Linked DNA regions of Caenorhabditis elegans. The protein of the gene in region 1 interacts with the protein of each later gene in a pairwise test. Each region holds a gene or a part of one and is shown in the gene's direction. Other genes may lie near its edges.

Region 1 (5,344 bases):
ATTTGAGTTGATTTTGAAAATTTTTGCAGTTTTAACAAATTAAAAAAGTAGAGAGTTATATATATTTTTTGATTTCCCTAAAAAATTCGATTTTAAAATTTTTCTTTAAAAAAATTTATACAAATAGATTAAAGAACTGGTTTATTTGGAAAAAACTTTTCGAATTTTGAAAAAAATCCAATTTTCAAACCTTCATCGGTTTTTTTCTCAAATTTTCAACTTTTCCCTCTAAAAATAATATTTTCAGTCTCTGTTAATTTTGTGAATATAGCTTTACTTGTTTTTCTTCCCATTTTCATCACTCACACCATTTCCCCCGAATCCCCGTTTTTCCCCACCAGCTCCTCACTTTGATTTGTTCAATTTATTATGCACACGGGTCCCCAAAATCCCCCTAAAATTATTCCGAGATATTCTTGTACCATTTGACATGTAAATATATATATATATATACTCCATTTTATTTTCCTACTGAAAATTTGAAAATTTCCAGATTTTTATAGAATTTCTATACATAGTTGTCTTGCACCATAAAATGAAGCGATCTTGTTTATAACTTTAAAAATTATTTTTTTAAATGTGGTCCAAAACCCCTTGTTTCAGATATTTTGCTAAATTTTATAACTCGATTTTTAATAATTAATTTCTGAAAAAAAAAGTCCGAGTGCCAGCTCCTCCCACTTCTTGGCTACCATTCAAATTTGGCTTTTTGAGACAATTTAGAGAAAATTTTATTTCCGATTACTAACTGGAAGGTTTCAAAAACTTCAAAAATATGCGATAAATAATTTTATTAAAGAAAAACCGTTCGAAAACTCAAAATTTTGAAAAAAAAGCTCGAAAATCGATATTTCTTTTTTGCAATTCTAAAAGTGTTTATTCTTTTTTAGAAAATTTTCAAAAAATATCGAGAACCTAAAATTGCATTCTTGGGTTCCAACATCACGAAAGTCCACTGAAAAAAACTCCGAAGTGGACTTTGAAAATCCGAAAACTTTCTATTCGCCTCTAGACAATTCTTTTTCACGTGCAACAACTGTGACCCTTCTTTCATCGTTACACTTGTTGTCTTTTCGCTCTCTTTTCTTGAATTGTTGCACTTCTCACGTTCACCCAACAGATTTTAAATCAAAACAAAAAAGTTGGCTTTGAACAAGACTTCGAAGACTTTCAGATTATTTCAGGCTTTTTAATGATAGTAAATTTGGATTTTTGGATTTTTTTTAACTTTTTGGCTTTAAATCTTTTCAAAGATTATTTTTAAATTTTATTTTCTTTTTGAATTTTTAAATTTCTCGAGTTTTCGAACTTTTGGAAGAATTCTAAGAATCGTTGTTCTTGTCTCGGTTTTTTATGTATTTAAACCTTTTTTATTTTGTGAAAAATTCGGAGAATGCGTATTAACTAACATATTTAACGCGCAAAATATCTTACGAGATAGTAATTCTCGAACACTATAGTAATTCTTTAAATTACTACTGTAGTGTCGATTTACGGGCTCAAATAGTGAAAAAAAAAATTATTTGCGAATAGTGGGAGTTACTTTGTTTTTTCGTATTATTATCTCTTTTTTTGCTTAGTTTTAATGTTCTATCGATAAATAAATGTTTTTTAAATCGAGGCCGTATATCGACACAATCGCTACAGTAGTCATTTGAAGAATTACTGTAGTTTTTGCAACGAGATGTTTTACTCGTTGAATATGTTGCACAGTACGCAATCTTAGAATTATGTGTTTAATACTCAAACACAATAAATTAACAATTTAGGTCAAAGAAAAAAAAGAAACACTTTAAGATTACTGTACTTCTTAAAAGTACACGCCTTTTTGATGATATAATCAATATGTCACAAGGTTGAAAAATAGAAACAAAAAATTAGGAATTTAGATAACAACTAATTTGATCAGTAATTACTAGTGTTCTCAGTAATAATAATAATAATAAAGTTCACATGATTCGTCGCGCTCGTTCTTCGGTTTCCCTTTTCTCGTTTTCTCGGCGGTCTCCCCAATTTCAGTGTTCTCTAACCGTCTGCGTAATTCTCCCTCTAGCTGTCACTCAATTTCCAACAAACATGTCTTTCAATATTTTCTTCGTTTTTTCTTGCCTTATTGATTTCTTTCGAATTAAAAGTAAAATTTTAAATTAAAATACAAGTTTTGTTGCAGGATGTTGTCCGCCAAAGGTCCCCAAATGCGTGCGTTTACCCAACGTGTTGCCGCATTTTCAACGCAGGTGAGAGTTTGGATAATGGCTGAAAAATTGCAGATTTTATCGAAAAATCTTTTGTTTCAGAAAAATTAATTTCTTTTTGATTTACCGAATAATTCAATTTTTCTTTTGAAAAAAAGTAAGCGTTTTAGCTGCTTATGTGCTGAAAATCATAAAATTCAAATTTTCAGCTCCAAATCGACCCAATTCCAATCGTGTTCGTCGGAAAGGGCACAACTCGTAAGAAATTCAAAATTTCGATCGACATTTTCACAATTTTTCCACATTTCAGCTCGCCAAAACTCGCTTCTCGGCCCAAATGACAGTCAGTACCCGTTCCAGGGAGACGTCTCGTTTGCTCACAAGGTAAATTTCTGAAAATTGATTTTCCAAACAGACACCCAAAATTATCTGATTTTTTACTCCAAAATCAAATTTCATGTAAAAAATTTGAATTTTCGAAAATTTACCCATTTAAAATAATTCCAATTTAATTTTAAATTTTTTCAAAAACTCAAAATTTGCAGCCATTGAGCATCCGCCAACAAGTGGAAAACTCAAAAATCGAGCGTGTGATGGACGATACGGAGCACAATTTGATCAATTTGCTCTCCAATACAAATATCGAAGTTGACCGTACACATTTGGCTCAATTGAAGGAAGAAGCAATGGAAGAGATTCAGGCAAATGCGGCTGACGTTGAGATTGAACTTTCCGCTATTGAAGCACCAAAGTTGCTCAAAAAAGGTGAGCTGGAAAGCTGGGATTTATAGAAATTCTGAAAATGAACTTTTAAAAAATTAGTCTTTCAAAAAATCGGAAATTGAGATTACGTTCGAGTTAATATTAGTGAAAAATTGAAAAAAAAAATGCTTTGCAGAACTATATTTAGCAGGGGTGTGCGGTAAATTTGGTAAATCGACTTTTTAAAAAATTTACCGTGGTCGTCATACTCGGCAAATCGCAATATTTGTGAAGCTCAAAAAGTGAATTTAAAATTTATTTTGAATTTAAAACTCATAAATTCAAAAATCATTTTTTTTTCCAGAAATGAAATACCTATTCCCACAAATGGAGACTCAAAAGATGAACAACGTGACCGTGTTCAATCTAACTCAAAAGTCAGAATTCGACATGAAAGCATGGAGTGAAGCAATGGAAGAGGAACGTGAAAAGCTCACCGCCTCATTCATCATGTCCGCCAACGCGATTTGCTCAACTCTCCATCGTTTCGGCTATTGGGCTGATTTCATTGATCCATCTTCCGGCCGCCCGTATATGGGTGATTACACCAATCATACACTTTTCGAGACCAATGACGCCTACAAACAAATGGGCTTCAAGATTGAAGACCTCGGATGCTGCAAAGTTCTGCAACACGCATGCTGGGGATCCAACGCATTTGTGGGAACTATTTTCACTGATGCTCCTGTTGATGGGGATGCCGTCAGGGATATTTTGAAGAAGGTTACTCAGGAGGTACAGGATGTTGGAATTTCTGAAACCGAATTTTTGAAAAAAAAAAACGTAAAATTATGTTTGAAAAAATTTATTTTGATGTTCTTCCTGCTATCTAATAATGATAATCATTTTTCAGATTTCCAAAAAAAGGACGAAAATTATGTTTTTATTTCTGGGATTCTACAAAATTTCAGAATTTCCTTACATTTTGTAATTTTTGTACGATTTTCGACTTCACAAAAAATAAAACAAAGTCTTAAAAAAGGTCGCTCTTTCAAAAACCAAAGAGATATTTTATTGAATAAATTTTCGACTTCCTTAAATAAAAAAGTTAATTTTTTTAGATTGACGAATAGAGATTCCATCGAGCAATTTTCCAGTAGAAGCCCCGCCCACAATATGCCATAAATATGAGTCGATTCTCCTTCCATTTTGCACCCGTTGTCCCTCGCTCCACGTATTTTCTAATTTTTTTTTGTCTGTAAAATTTTTAATTTAGACTAAAAATTTGCGGTTTTCAAATGAATGAAATTTGCAAGCAAGCACTGTCTCGAAATTGTAAATAATTTAATGGTTGTTTTTTAGAAAAAAATAAATGTTTGTTAGAATCCACAATTCACTTGTTGTCACCTTTTCAAGTTACTGATCTGACGGTATTTTTTAAAGTTTTCTTCTTTTTTGAACTTTTAAAGAAATTGGTTTAAGCTGGAAATTTGAATTTTCTAGCAAAAAAAAACATACCAGATGACGATCATCAGTGAGGAGGACGAGGCGGACGTCTACACGTCGCAGCGATCAGAACCCCCAGAGACACGGATTTTCGAGACGATGGGGTTTTACTGGAAACGGATTATGGTTTGTGCAGAATTTTTTTTTGCTTAAAATAATTTCGTGGCCGTGTTTTGAGAAAAACTCGGTCACAGGTTTTTTTCGTGATCGCTTCTAATTTTACAAAAAACTTTGAATACCCTACATAGTAAAAAAGTTTGTAGAAAAATAAGTGCTTTTCAAGAAAAAATACATTTTTAAAATGCAATTTTAAAAACACTTCCTAAAAAAACCACTTTTTCAGAAAACCCTACCTACATTCACCACCCAAATTGTGTTAATCTTCTGTGTTCTGCCCATCTCATTCTCCATCGCCATCTTCCTCGCCACCGCGATTCTCAATTTTGGAGTCGCTTTTATTGCACAAAGTGAGAATTTTGATTTACAGATTGGAAAATGGAAGAAAAACCTTGAACAAACGGTCATGTATTCAAATAAATAGAGAGCTCTCGTAAATCGACACGATACAAGCGCGCTCCAATGAGAATTTCTTTGGGCGCGCATTTGAAAAAGTAATAGGAACGCAAATGAAATTCGCGAATTTCAAGCTGAAAAAAATGGAAATTTGTTTTAAATTTTTTTACATGGATATTCGGCATCAGGGGCAAATTTGGAGTTCTTTAAAAAATATTTCCCAGATTTCGGTACTCCACCTTTTAGATAAATACATCGGCGATTTTTGAATGTCAAAAAATGCTTACTAGAAATTCAAAATTTAACTTTGGAAACTTTTCGACGGGATTCAAATTTTAAATATTCAAAAAAATTTAGTAGCAAACTCAAGTTAACAATTTGGTTGCCAGAAAGTTTTTGACATAAATTCAAAATTTAAATTATCAAAA
Region 2 (7,550 bases), on another chromosome or scaffold:
TCTTTTTCTAATAAACGTCATAATATAATAATAATAAAAATTCGTAATCAGTTAAAACTCGTTCGTCCCTTTTCTCTTCCCTCTCTTATCAAAAACACTATCAATACCTACACAGAGATCATAATCAGAACTTTTGATTCAATAGTTCAAGTATTGCCATTGTTCACGTGATTCTGCTCGCCTAGTATTGCCTTTTAAAGACGTTCAGGAATAATATTTTGGTTCAAAGTATAGAAATCCCATGGCAGTTGTTTTGAATTATTATTCTTTCTTTGTTGTCTTTTGAAAAACTTGGTTACTATGTGTCTTATTCTGGATCTTTCGGACTGTCTATTTTTTTGTTGGTCGTATAAATATTACATTTTGATCTACCCTTGTTGACCTCCCCGCGTATATTTTTGTTTTACCCCTTCTAAAATCAGTCTGTATAAAAGGCATTCGACATTCCTCTGCTTTAAAAAAAATTTTAACTGATTAAACACCTGTAATTTATTTTTTTATTTTGCTCCAAGAAAAAATGGTTCCTGCGGTCTTGAAGCGAACGATTTTTTTTGGCTGCAAAAGAGCGTGCGCCTTTAAGAATTACTACTCCTCGCTGTTTCGGGGGTTTCTTCGATATTTCATAAGCTTTAACCCCCTTGCTTAACATTTATTTTAAAAAAATGTCAAAATATATTTCAAAAGATGCATCAAAATTGGAAGGAACGGGAGAAATATCCGCGACATCAAAAAAATTTGCAACAACTACCGTATTCCTTGCGCATTCCTTCTTGAATTTGAAAAAATCAGTCGCTTCGAGACCGTGTACAGTAATTTTGAAGCAAAATCGAACAATTTCGCATCTGGGGAATCTGAAATTGAGTATTTATATTTTTCATCTAGAATACACCCTAAACTCTAAAATTTTTCAAGTTAGTCTCAAATCAATAATCCCTTTGATATCCTTGACCCGCATATATCTAGTTGAAACCAAAGTACGATAAGAGTACTTGAATGGCGCCATTTACCAACGAACCGCCTACCTCAGAAATCTTATCAGTTGAATTAGTCTGCCCTTTTATCTGTCTCCGATGCTTCTCTATTCCTCAAGAAACAAAATTTTATCCTAAAATCCTCAGTGTAGCAAGTTCCAAATCGAAATCTCGATTTAAAATCAGCTATATCCTTTTCTGTCGACACATTATTTCGTATTCACGTGTTCCGTTGACCCATCTTTATGATAAAATGTGTCCTTTATCTAGACACTGTCATCAAACGAGATGTACACGGGACTGAAGAGAGTGTAGAGGGGAAAACGAGTGTTATTCCCGATTTGCCACGACTCACTGTGTCGTGTTTTTCATGTTCTCAACGCTGCATATCGAATTAAAAACATGACTAGAATATATTTATAATGTCATCTCGAAACTTTTTTGTAGGGAAATAACATCTACTTGGTTTAATTTTTGTTTACAAAAACAAAATCCACGTCGACTTCAATTGTGTTGTTTCTTTCAGTAGCTTATTTCTCTTTTCCCCTTGCTTTCATTTTTGGATAATTAAAACTTGATATTTCCAGCCGATTTTACTTTATAGAACGAAAAGTACGCATTAAATAAATTCAAATATTAAAATTTGGCGCCATGGCGCTTACTAGTCCACGGCACCGTGTAGTCCTCTCGGAGTATGCAAATTTATTATTTTTTTAATCAAAATTTTCTATAAAGATATAAGTTTTGCTTAAAATATGCTAATTTTCTGCTTCTTTTAACTTGTTCTTCTTTGCTTAATATTTCCCAATACTTTTAATCATAAATTTTCCCACAATTTATGTTTTTTTTCCAGAAAATGACTCGAAGTAGTCTTTTCGAGGAGTTGGCGGAGATCGCCAAAGAGCGTATCATGATCATCGACGGTGCAATGGGAACAATGATTCAGAGAGAGTATATGGAAGAGGAAGATTTTCGTGGAGAGGTAAGAAATGATTTGTAGAAACTGGCTTCTGTGAAAAGATCAAAAAATGAACATTCACAAATTGATGTTATCAATAACTGATTGAGATAACAGAAATGTCCCCATAAAATGTATGATTCAGCATTAAAAAAAAATTCCAGATCCTCAAAGACCACGACAAGCCACTGAAAGGAAACAATGATCTTCTATCCATCACCCGCCCAGATATCATCTACAAAATCCACAAGCTCTACTTGGAAGCCGGAGCAGACTTTGTCGAGACTAACACATTCTCAGGAACCACAATTGCACAAGCAGATTATCGATGTGAACATTTGGTGCATGAAATCAATTATCAGTCGGCACTCGTCGCCAGAAGAGCTTGTGATGATGTTGGAGCAGCTACTGGTAAGGGAATTCTGTGAAAAGAGCTACTAGTTGAATTGTTTCTTATAACCAGGTAGACGTCGATATGTGTGCGGAGCCATTGGACCTACGAACAGAACTCTCTCAATTTCGCCATCTGTGGAGAAGCCGGATTTTCGTAACGTTAGTGAGTAAATTTTAAATTGGCTTGAAGATTTCAATAATCGAAATTTCGAATCGATTCCGAAAATTTTCAAAACTATAATTTTTAAATAAATTAATTACGTGGAAAAGTTAAACAAATAAATTATCCCAATTTTTATTTCAGCATTCCAAGAGCTCGTGAAAGCATACGGAGATCAAGCTCGCTCACTTATTCAAGGAGGAGTCGACGTGCTTCTCGTGGAAACTGTTTTCGATTCAGCCAACGCCAAAGCTGCTCTTTTCGCGATTCGCACACTTTTCGAGGATGAAGGAGTTCCAGAAATGCCAGTTTTTCTTTCTGGAACTATTGTTGATATGTCTGGACGTACGCTTTCTGGTCAAACTGGTGAAGCTTTCCTTGTGTCCACCAAGCAAGGAAAACCAATGGCTGTAGGATTGAATTGTGCTCTTGGAGCCAAAGATATGAGACAATTTGTGGATAATATGTCGAAGTGGTCTGATTCTTTCATCATCTGTTATCCAAATGCTGGTTAGTTTAGAGAAAAAATAAAATTTATTCTAATTTCTTCCATTTCCAGGTCTTCCCAATGCACTCGGAGGCTACGACGAAACTCCTGAAGAGATGGCTGATGTTCTTCGAGAATTCGCTAGAGACGGACTTGTGAATATCATTGGTGGATGCTGTGGTACTACTCCAGATCACATTAATGCCATGTACAAGGCTGTGCAAGGAATCACACCACGTGTCCCACCACAAGATCCTCATGCTGGAAAAATGCTGCTCTCTGGACTTGAGCCATCTATCGTCGGGCCCGAAACCAATTTTGTGAACATCGGGGAGCGCTGTAACGTCGCAGGATCTCGTCGATTCTGTAACCTTATTAAAAATGAGAATTACGATACGGCGATTGACGTGGCTCGTGTGCAAGTCGACAGTGGAGCTCAAATTCTAGATGTGAATATGGATGATGGTCTTCTTGATGGTCCATATGCAATGTCAAAGTTCCTTCGTCTCATATCCTCGGAGCCAGATGTCGCCAAAATTCCAGTTTGCATTGATTCTTCGGATTTCGATGTTATTATTGCTGGCCTCGAGTCTACTCAAGGAAAATGTGTAGTCAACTCGATTTCGCTGAAGGAAGGAGAAGAAAAGTTCAAGGAACGTGCTCGAATCATCAAGCGATACGGTGCTGCTGTGGTCGTGATGGCGTTCGATGAACAAGGGCAAGCTGCGGAGACGGATCCGAAGTTCGAGATTTGCGAAAGATCCTACAGAATTCTTACGGAAGAGGTTGGATTCAATCCAAATGATATCATTTTTGACGCCAACATTCTCACTATTGCAACTGGAATGGAAGAGCATTCGAACTATGGAATGTATTTTATTGAGGCAGCTCGTATGATAAGAGAGAATCTGCCAGGAGCTCATGTGTCTGGAGGTGTATCCAATATTTCATTCTCATTCCGTGGAATGGAAGCGATTCGTGAAGCTATGCATTCCGTGTTTCTGTTCTACGCAATCAAAGCTGGAATGGACATGGGAATCGTGAACGCTGGAGCTCTTCCAGTTTACGAGGATATTGATAAGCCACTTCTGCAACTTCTAGAAGATCTTCTTTTCAATCGGGATCCAGAAGCGACCGAAAAGCTTCTTGTCGCTGCTCAAGAAATGAAGAAGGACGGAAAGAAGGCTGACACGAAGACTGATGAATGGAGATCATTGACTGTAGAGGAACGTCTGAAGTTTGCTCTCGTGAAGGGAGTTGATCAGTTTGTTGTCGCTGATACCGAAGAAGCTAGACAGAATACTGCGAAATATCCAAGGTGTGTACCGATTTCTGATATCCATAATTAATTACTTTCTTTCAGACCTTTGAACGTTATTGAACGACCATTGATGGATGGAATGGCAGTCGTTGGAGAGCTGTTCGGAGCCGGAAAAATGTTCCTCCCACAAGTTATCAAATCAGCCAGAGTTATGAAGAAAGCAGTTGCTCATCTTCTTCCATTTATGGAAATTGAACGACAAGCTAATATTGAGACCATGGGGCTGGCTGAAGATGAAAGTCCATATCAGGGTACTGTAGTTATTGCTACAGTCAAAGGAGATGTTCATGACATTGGAAAGAATATTGTGTCTGTTGTGTTGGGATGCAATAATTTCAAAGTTGTCGATCTTGGCGTCATGACTCCCTGCGAAAACATCATCAAGGCTGCAATTGAGGAGAAGGCTGACTTTATCGGACTCTCTGGACTCATTACACCTTCTCTCGATGAAATGGTATATGTTGCCAAAGAGATGAACAGAGTTGGATTGAATATTCCATTGCTCATTGGCGGAGCTACAACTTCCAAAACCCATACTGCTGTCAAGATCTCTCCAAGATATCCTCATCCAGTTGTACATTGTTTGGATGCTTCAAAGTCTGTTGTAGTGTGCTCTTCGCTGTCTGATATGTCTGTTCGTGATGCTTTCTTGCAAGATTTGAATGAAGATTATGAAGATGTAAGTTTATAGCTTTTTGAAGTTACTCATGACTTACCTAAAACATTTTCAGGTGCGCCAAGAACATTACGCTTCACTGAAAGATCGCCGCTTCACTGATCTCAATAAAACCCGCGAGAAGAAATTCAAGATCGACTGGGACAAGTTTACAGCCGTCAAGCCTTCCTTTGTCGGACGCCGTGAATATCAAAACTTTGATCTCAACGAATTGATTCCCTACATTGATTGGAAGCCGTTCTTCGATGTTTGGCAACTGAGAGGAAAATACCCGAATCGCAGTTATCCGAAGATCTTTGATGACGCGGATGTTGGTGCTGAGGCCAAGAAGGTTTTCGATGTAAGTTTTAGCTCATTATTTTTTTCAAATTTTGGAAATTCAGGATGCTCAAACATGGCTCAAGAAGCTTATCGATGAGAAGATTCTCGTCGCCAACGCTGTTGTTTCATTCCTCCCAGCTGCTTCTGAAGGCGATGATATGCATGTCTATGATCCAGAGACTGGAAACAAGCTCGACACATTCTACGGTCTTCGCCAACAATCTGGACGTGAACACGATCAACCACATTTCTGTCTCTCGGATTTCATCAAGCCACTCAAAAATGGCGTCCCTGATGATTACCTTGGTCTATTCGCTTGTACTGCTGGTCTCGGAGCCGAAGAATACTGTAAAACTCTTGAAAAGAATCATGATGATTATGCTTCAATTATGGTGAAAGCTCTTGCCGATCGTCTTGCCGAAGCATACGCTGAATACTTGCACAAAGAAGTGAGAACGACTCTTTGGGGATATTCAACCAACGAAGATCTCACCGAATCTGATCTTTTGTCGATCAAATATCAAGGTATTCGCCCGGCGTGTGGCTATCCATCTCAACCGGATCACACTGAAAAGCGAACTCTTTGGAAGCTGCTTGAGGCGGAAAAGAATGGAATTGGGCTCACGGAGCATCTTGCTATGCTTCCAGCTGCATCAGTGTCTGGACTCTATTTCGCGAATCCACAGAGTGAATATTTCGCTGTTGGAAAGATTGATCAAGATCAGGTATGTATTCTAGGAAAACATATTTTTAATTTATTTTAACATTTGCAGGTAATCGATTACGCCGCCAGAAAGAATGTGCCAAAGGAAGAAGTTGAGCGATGGCTATCACCAATTCTTGGCTATGATACGGATTAAACTGCATATCTTCTCTACTCGTACTTCTAATGATGAAACATATTACCAGAATACGTATTTCACTTCCCTCCCCTCAATCGGTCCCTTCAAGGGTTTTCCCCCTAACATTTCACTTTCCCGGAATTTATAGCCTACTATTAGTAGTATCAAAGTATTAATTTTGTTTGATTAAATAATAAATATGATTTTTTGAATAAGCTCTTCGTCACTTTATTGGGTTTTTTTTGCAGAATATAGCGTGTTCTGTAAGAATGGTGTATACTAGTCGTAAATCTTAATTTCGTTCATTCTTTTTCAGTTGAGGTTTGTTGGAAAATATGCATTTTTTGCCAATTTCCGCTTGTTTTTGGTGAGGTTGCGAGGTTTTCGATAACTTCTTTTCTCGAAGATATTTATTTTTTCGACTTTGGAATATCATCACTCTTAATTTAAAAATTCTTGCCAATTATTTATGAAAAAAAAATTTCAATAATTTTCTGTCAATTTTTGAATTAGTTCGAATTTATGGTTTTACTCAAAATCAATGCGTTTGGTCCTGGCACGAGCCATTTTTCCCTACTACGGTACTATTATTTTAGTTGCTGAAAACTTCCGTAAGGTATCAAAAAAGTCCATTACTCTTTGCTCTTCTTTTACGTGTTCTATTCAATTCTGACCTGCCACGTCAAATTGATGTGTATATGTTCACTCGTTCATTATTTCTGCATCCAGCTTCAGCTCCAAGCAATCTTCTTCAATCCACAATTTTTTTTGGTTTCAGTATTAAGACATTGAGCTACTCGGAAATTGGGAATCTTTTTTGGTTTTTCCTTTTAAAAAAGCGATAGTATAACGTTCATTTATTTAGAAAAGTTAGAATCAGAGAGTTTTTTTTGGAACAGCTGTTCGATTTTGAAAAAATATACAAATTCAAAAGTTTATTCTGTTAGGTCGCAAATTGTAAGCTATCCGAATATTTTTACGTTTTTGAAACACTATTTTAAATCATCTGGGAAATCAATTTATTTTATAAATCCTATGAAAACATCTTCACAAAACTTCTATACTATTCTATTGGGACGTTCCTACCCAACACTTTCAACAAACAAAACTAATAAACTGATTTATAGCCTCACTTCTTTCCATAAGAGCCACTTTCTTCTAACTGAGCTAATTTATATGCCACGTCACAAGAGCATCACTTCAGAAGAAGAAGAGGAAGACATTTATCCCGTAAAAGGGAAGGAATGAAGAATAAAGATTTTCTTTCGTAATGCTCTTTTTTTGTGGTTTTTTACTATCTATTCCCATTTTATTCAGTTTTTTCTTTGTTTTTAGGAGCTTTGCTATATACTTTTTAGACATTAATTTAAAAATTTCAGACATTCCGCCAAATGTTTGATGAGGAAGCATTCATAAAATGT
Region 3 (4,032 bases), on another chromosome or scaffold:
CTAACGTCATTCACCCTATTTGTCTATACGTCTGTTATGTTTATCATTTTCACACCAATCTAAAGCAATTTCCACGAAAAATCTAATGATCTTACATTGTGTCATTCTGAAACATTTCATTCTACTGATAGGCTTCACGACTTCTTCCAGTTTCTATTAATTTTTTCTCCAAAAGCTTATTTCTATGTTTTTGAAATATTTACAAAAACCTTTTTTCAACAACTCACATCTGTTTTGCTTTTATCAGCCACAGTGCTGATATGGATAATTTCACCTCCTCGAACAATTCTGTACGAGGCCTTTTCGGAGAGATACCAGGTGTTTCCGTTTCGAATTCTACGGCTTCTGGGAACTGGAAGATGACGCAAGAAGCATTTTTCCATAACTGAATTGAAAGTTGACACTTGCTCATTGGACCTAAATTTGAATCGAATTTTTAAAAGCATTTCTTCAATGTGATTTTCCTACCATAAGTCACGAAATTCAATTTCCACGTGGGTTTTATCGTGGTGTTCAGAAATATGTTCACATGGTGATTTCGACACAGGAAGAGTTCTCAAACAGTGGACACACTCATAGCGTTTTGCTATGTCTACATTGAGAAATTCCGATTCTGGGTGGGCGTCTAGAACATGTTCAGTCTGTTTCCTAATTTTTGTATTTCGGTTTCTACCGGTTTCCACTTCATGCTTGCACAGCTGAAAATTGTAGTTGAATCTGACGCAATTGTCGGGGTCTCACCGAACAATATGCCATATCAAGTTGATCTTCCTTTCCGTTTTCAACGATTATCGAGTCATTTGGTGTTTCAGCATCCATTGAGTTTACCATAAACAATTGCGGAATATCTGTTATCAGCGAAATATTAAAAATTAAATGAACGAACTCTTACTGTTTACAATGTTCTCTGATTCGTGATCATCCAAAACTGCATCTTCCTCGATGTTAGTTGGCTCGAGCAAAAGTTTCAACGCATCCGAGTTTTCGGCGAAAGTTCCGCGCTGAAATACTTTTTATTATTTTCGAACAATATTCGAGTTATTCAATCCTTACCGCCCATTTCTCTAATATTTCTTGGTTTGAAGACATCTGAATGGCGGGTTGGTTTGCTTCCGAAAACGGATCAACCGATTTCTGTTCCTCGGCTGTTTCTCGAAAATTAAAAGTTCCACTGTCCAATTTATCCAAATATTCTTTCATTTCTTCCGGAGTTGACGAGAAAATGTGATTCAAGTGATTGTTCGTCTAAAAATATGAATTAGGAAGAATAATTAAAGAAAAAACTCACCAAATAGCGACGAAGCTTTCGTGCAGCATTAATTTGTTCGATGTTATCATCGATACTCACAAGTACAAACCGTTTTCGCAATGATTTCGGCATTGTTATAAAAAGAGAGACAAGTTTGAATTGAGTTCGAATTCGTTCGCGAACGAACGTTCGTGGTCGACAAACTACGGTACGCTGGAGTACGCAATGAGATACGCAAACACGCTCGCGCATTTTTTTGACTTTTGTAATGCGCGCGCGCGCCACGGCCCGGCAAGTGGTACATCTATGCAAATGCGCTCTACTGATAATTTGAGTGTAGACCAGGTTTGGGCGCGTGATAATGAAAAAAGCTTTGGTCCAAAAAATTTAGAATTTAATTTCGGACATTATTTATATGCATCACAAAAAAACTGGACCAACCGTTTTTGAGATACACGCGCCCAAACGTCCAGGTATACGGTAGACAAATTGCGTACAGGTACCACTTCTCGGGCCGCGCGCGCGCAAAAATGTCCCGTGGATTTTTCATTTCACCAATTCTCGAAGTTGAGGCTGAAAAATAGTTGCAAAGTTCCCATTTTGTCATGTTTTTTTTAAATATAACGCGACCCGTTCACTGAATATGGGATTTAACGTCACTTTGCATGCGTTCCACAACGCAAATTCTTTTGTGTATTGCTAACTTTTCTCATCAATGTTGTTCTCTGTTCTTCTAATAATTTAATTCGCCTCATTCGCTTCTCATTTCATGCACTTTTGTCATAGTTAACTACAGATGGCCGCGAATAGTCTTCCTCAAGATATTTCCGATGTGGAACTAGTTCATTTGGCCCGAGCTGCGATGAAACGGGCACATTGCCCATACAGCAAGTTTCCAGTTGGTGCAGCGCTTCTCACTGAATCTGGGGAAATTGTCCAGGGTAATTTGTGATTTCTTGTCGTTGCATAACTCGAGATGTCTGCGGGCTTCTCAGTTTCGCAACATGCATTTTTGAAGTTTCTAGCATTTTCTGTAGGCTGCAATGTCGAGAATGCTTCATACGGTGGCACTATCTGCGCTGAGCGTAGTGCTATTGTTTCTGCTGTGTCACAAGGATACACGAAATTCCGTGCCATTGCTGTCGTCACTGAGCTCAGCGAACCTGCGTCTCCCTGTGGACTTTGCCGTCAATTTCTAGTTGAATTCGGTGACTATAAAGTAAGAAAACTAGAGCTTCTTAATTTTTCACTGTCATCGTTGCAGGTTGTTGTGGGAACTGCATCTAACAATAAAATTCTCATCACCTCAACTCGCGCTCTTCTTCCATTTGCTTTCACTCCTGAATCGCTCGACACTTTTGAGCAAGAAAAAGCATCAGAAGCTAAAGGATTAAAGCAAGATGATGCCACGGAGCATAACGTTACAGTCGTCTCTTAATTTTTTATTCCAATCAGAAACTCCTTTCCACATTTCCCGCCATTCCTAGTAGTGTTTTTTTTCATTTGTGATATCCTTCTCTTTCTTTCAATTTAGTTGTGTCAAAAATTCATTTTATTAATAAAACTTTTCAGAATGGCGGCCTGTGGAAACCCAAGCGCGGCGGTCAAATTTGAGAGGCTTCCAACATTCGCCGAACCAACTCATTACAACGTCCGTTTATCGCCATGCCTCAACCAGTAAGTTCTGTAATAATATTTCAGTTTAGCTAGGACGGCAGTAATAAATGTTGATATGTAGTTTAAATTTGCAACAAAACCACTTCAAGTTCTAATTCTTGTTTTTCAGATTCTCTTTCGATGGTCATGCAACGATTGACGTCACAATCAAAGAAGCTACTGATGTCTTGAAGGTGCATGCACAGAGTTTGCTGATTCAGTCGGTATCGCTTATCACTCAGCCAGGAGACGCTTCTAAATCTCTCGAAACTAGCTACGACGATAAGCTCAATATTTTGACTATCAAGCTTCCGACTACCATGCAGCCACAGAAGGTTCAGCTCGACTTCAAGTTTGTCGGTGAACTGAACGATAAGATGCGAGGATTTTATCGCAGTCAGTACAAGGATAAGAACGGCACCGAAAAGTTCTTGGCTTCAACTCAGTTTGAGTCGACTTATGCTCGCTATGCATTCCCATGTTTCGATGAGCCAATTTACAAGGCAACTTTCGACGTTACTTTGGAAGTAGAAAATCATCTGACCGCTCTCTCCAATATGAATGTAATCTCCGAAACACCGACTGCTGATGGAAAGAGAAAGGCAGTTACATTTGCAACTTCACCAAAGATGTCATCGTATCTCGTCGCTTTCGCCGTTGGTGAGCTGGAATATATCAGTGCACAAACGAAAAGCGGAGTTGAGATGCGTGTGTATACTGTACCTGGAAAGAAAGAACAAGGTCAATACAGTTTGGATCTTTCTGTGAAGTGAGTTATCTTAAAGAATAATTTTAGCTGAATTTTCAGTAATAATTCAAATGAAGTTTCAATTTCTAATTTTCAGGTGCATTGACTGGTACAATGAGTGGTTCGACATCAAATACCCTCTTCCAAAATGTGACCTGATTGCTATTCCGGACTTCTCAATGGGTGCGATGGAGAACTGGGGACTTGTCACGTATCGTGAAATCGCTCTTCTTGTTGATCCAGGAGTCACGTCCACCAGACAAAAGTCTAGAGTTGCTTTAGTCGTTGCTCACGAGTTGGCTCATTTATGGTTCGGAAATCTTGTGACTATGGTAGGGAATTTTCAACTAATAAACATATATATTCATTCTTTTCAGAA

The links.
Region 2: the proteins of mmad-1 (region 1) and metr-1 interact in a two-hybrid assay, tested with the Caenorhabditis elegans proteins (one large-scale study listed by BioGRID).
Region 3: the proteins of mmad-1 (region 1) and cdd-2 interact in a two-hybrid assay, tested with the Caenorhabditis elegans proteins (one large-scale study listed by BioGRID).

What each region holds. Positions count from the first base shown.
Region 1 is NC_003281.10:13,545,832-13,551,175, reverse strand, and holds mmad-1 (Methylmalonic aciduria and homocystinuria type D homolog, mitochondrial), read left to right. Parts: upstream 1-2,170; 5' UTR 2,171-2,171; coding exon 2,172-2,237; intron 2,238-2,404; coding exon 2,405-2,453; intron 2,454-2,505; coding exon 2,506-2,579; intron 2,580-2,740; coding exon 2,741-2,960; intron 2,961-3,261; coding exon 3,262-3,692; intron 3,693-4,018; coding exon 4,019-4,030; 3' UTR 4,031-4,287; downstream 4,288-5,344. Other genes in the region: Y76A2B.4 (uncharacterized protein), read left to right, coding at 4,419-4,529, 4,747-4,870.
Region 2 is NC_003280.10:10,924,737-10,932,286, forward strand, and holds metr-1 (putative methionine synthase), read left to right. Parts: upstream 1-1,824; 5' UTR 1,825-1,827; coding exon 1,828-1,953; intron 1,954-2,093; coding exon 2,094-2,340; intron 2,341-2,392; coding exon 2,393-2,485; intron 2,486-2,626; coding exon 2,627-2,992; intron 2,993-3,041; coding exon 3,042-4,287; intron 4,288-4,332; coding exon 4,333-4,969; intron 4,970-5,021; coding exon 5,022-5,306; intron 5,307-5,349; coding exon 5,350-6,012; intron 6,013-6,060; coding exon 6,061-6,147; 3' UTR 6,148-6,342; downstream 6,343-7,550.
Region 3 is NC_003282.8:7,545,907-7,549,938, reverse strand, and holds cdd-2 (Cytidine deaminase), read left to right. Parts: upstream 1-2,045; coding exon 2,046-2,190; intron 2,191-2,286; coding exon 2,287-2,468; intron 2,469-2,513; coding exon 2,514-2,687; 3' UTR 2,688-2,821; downstream 2,822-4,032. Other genes in the region: oef-1 (C2H2-type domain-containing protein), read right to left, coding at 228-417, 469-698, 742-848, 893-1,001, 1,054-1,245, 1,289-1,381; pam-1 (Puromycin-sensitive aminopeptidase), read left to right, coding at 2,822-2,926, 3,036-3,674, 3,751-3,985, 4,031-4,032.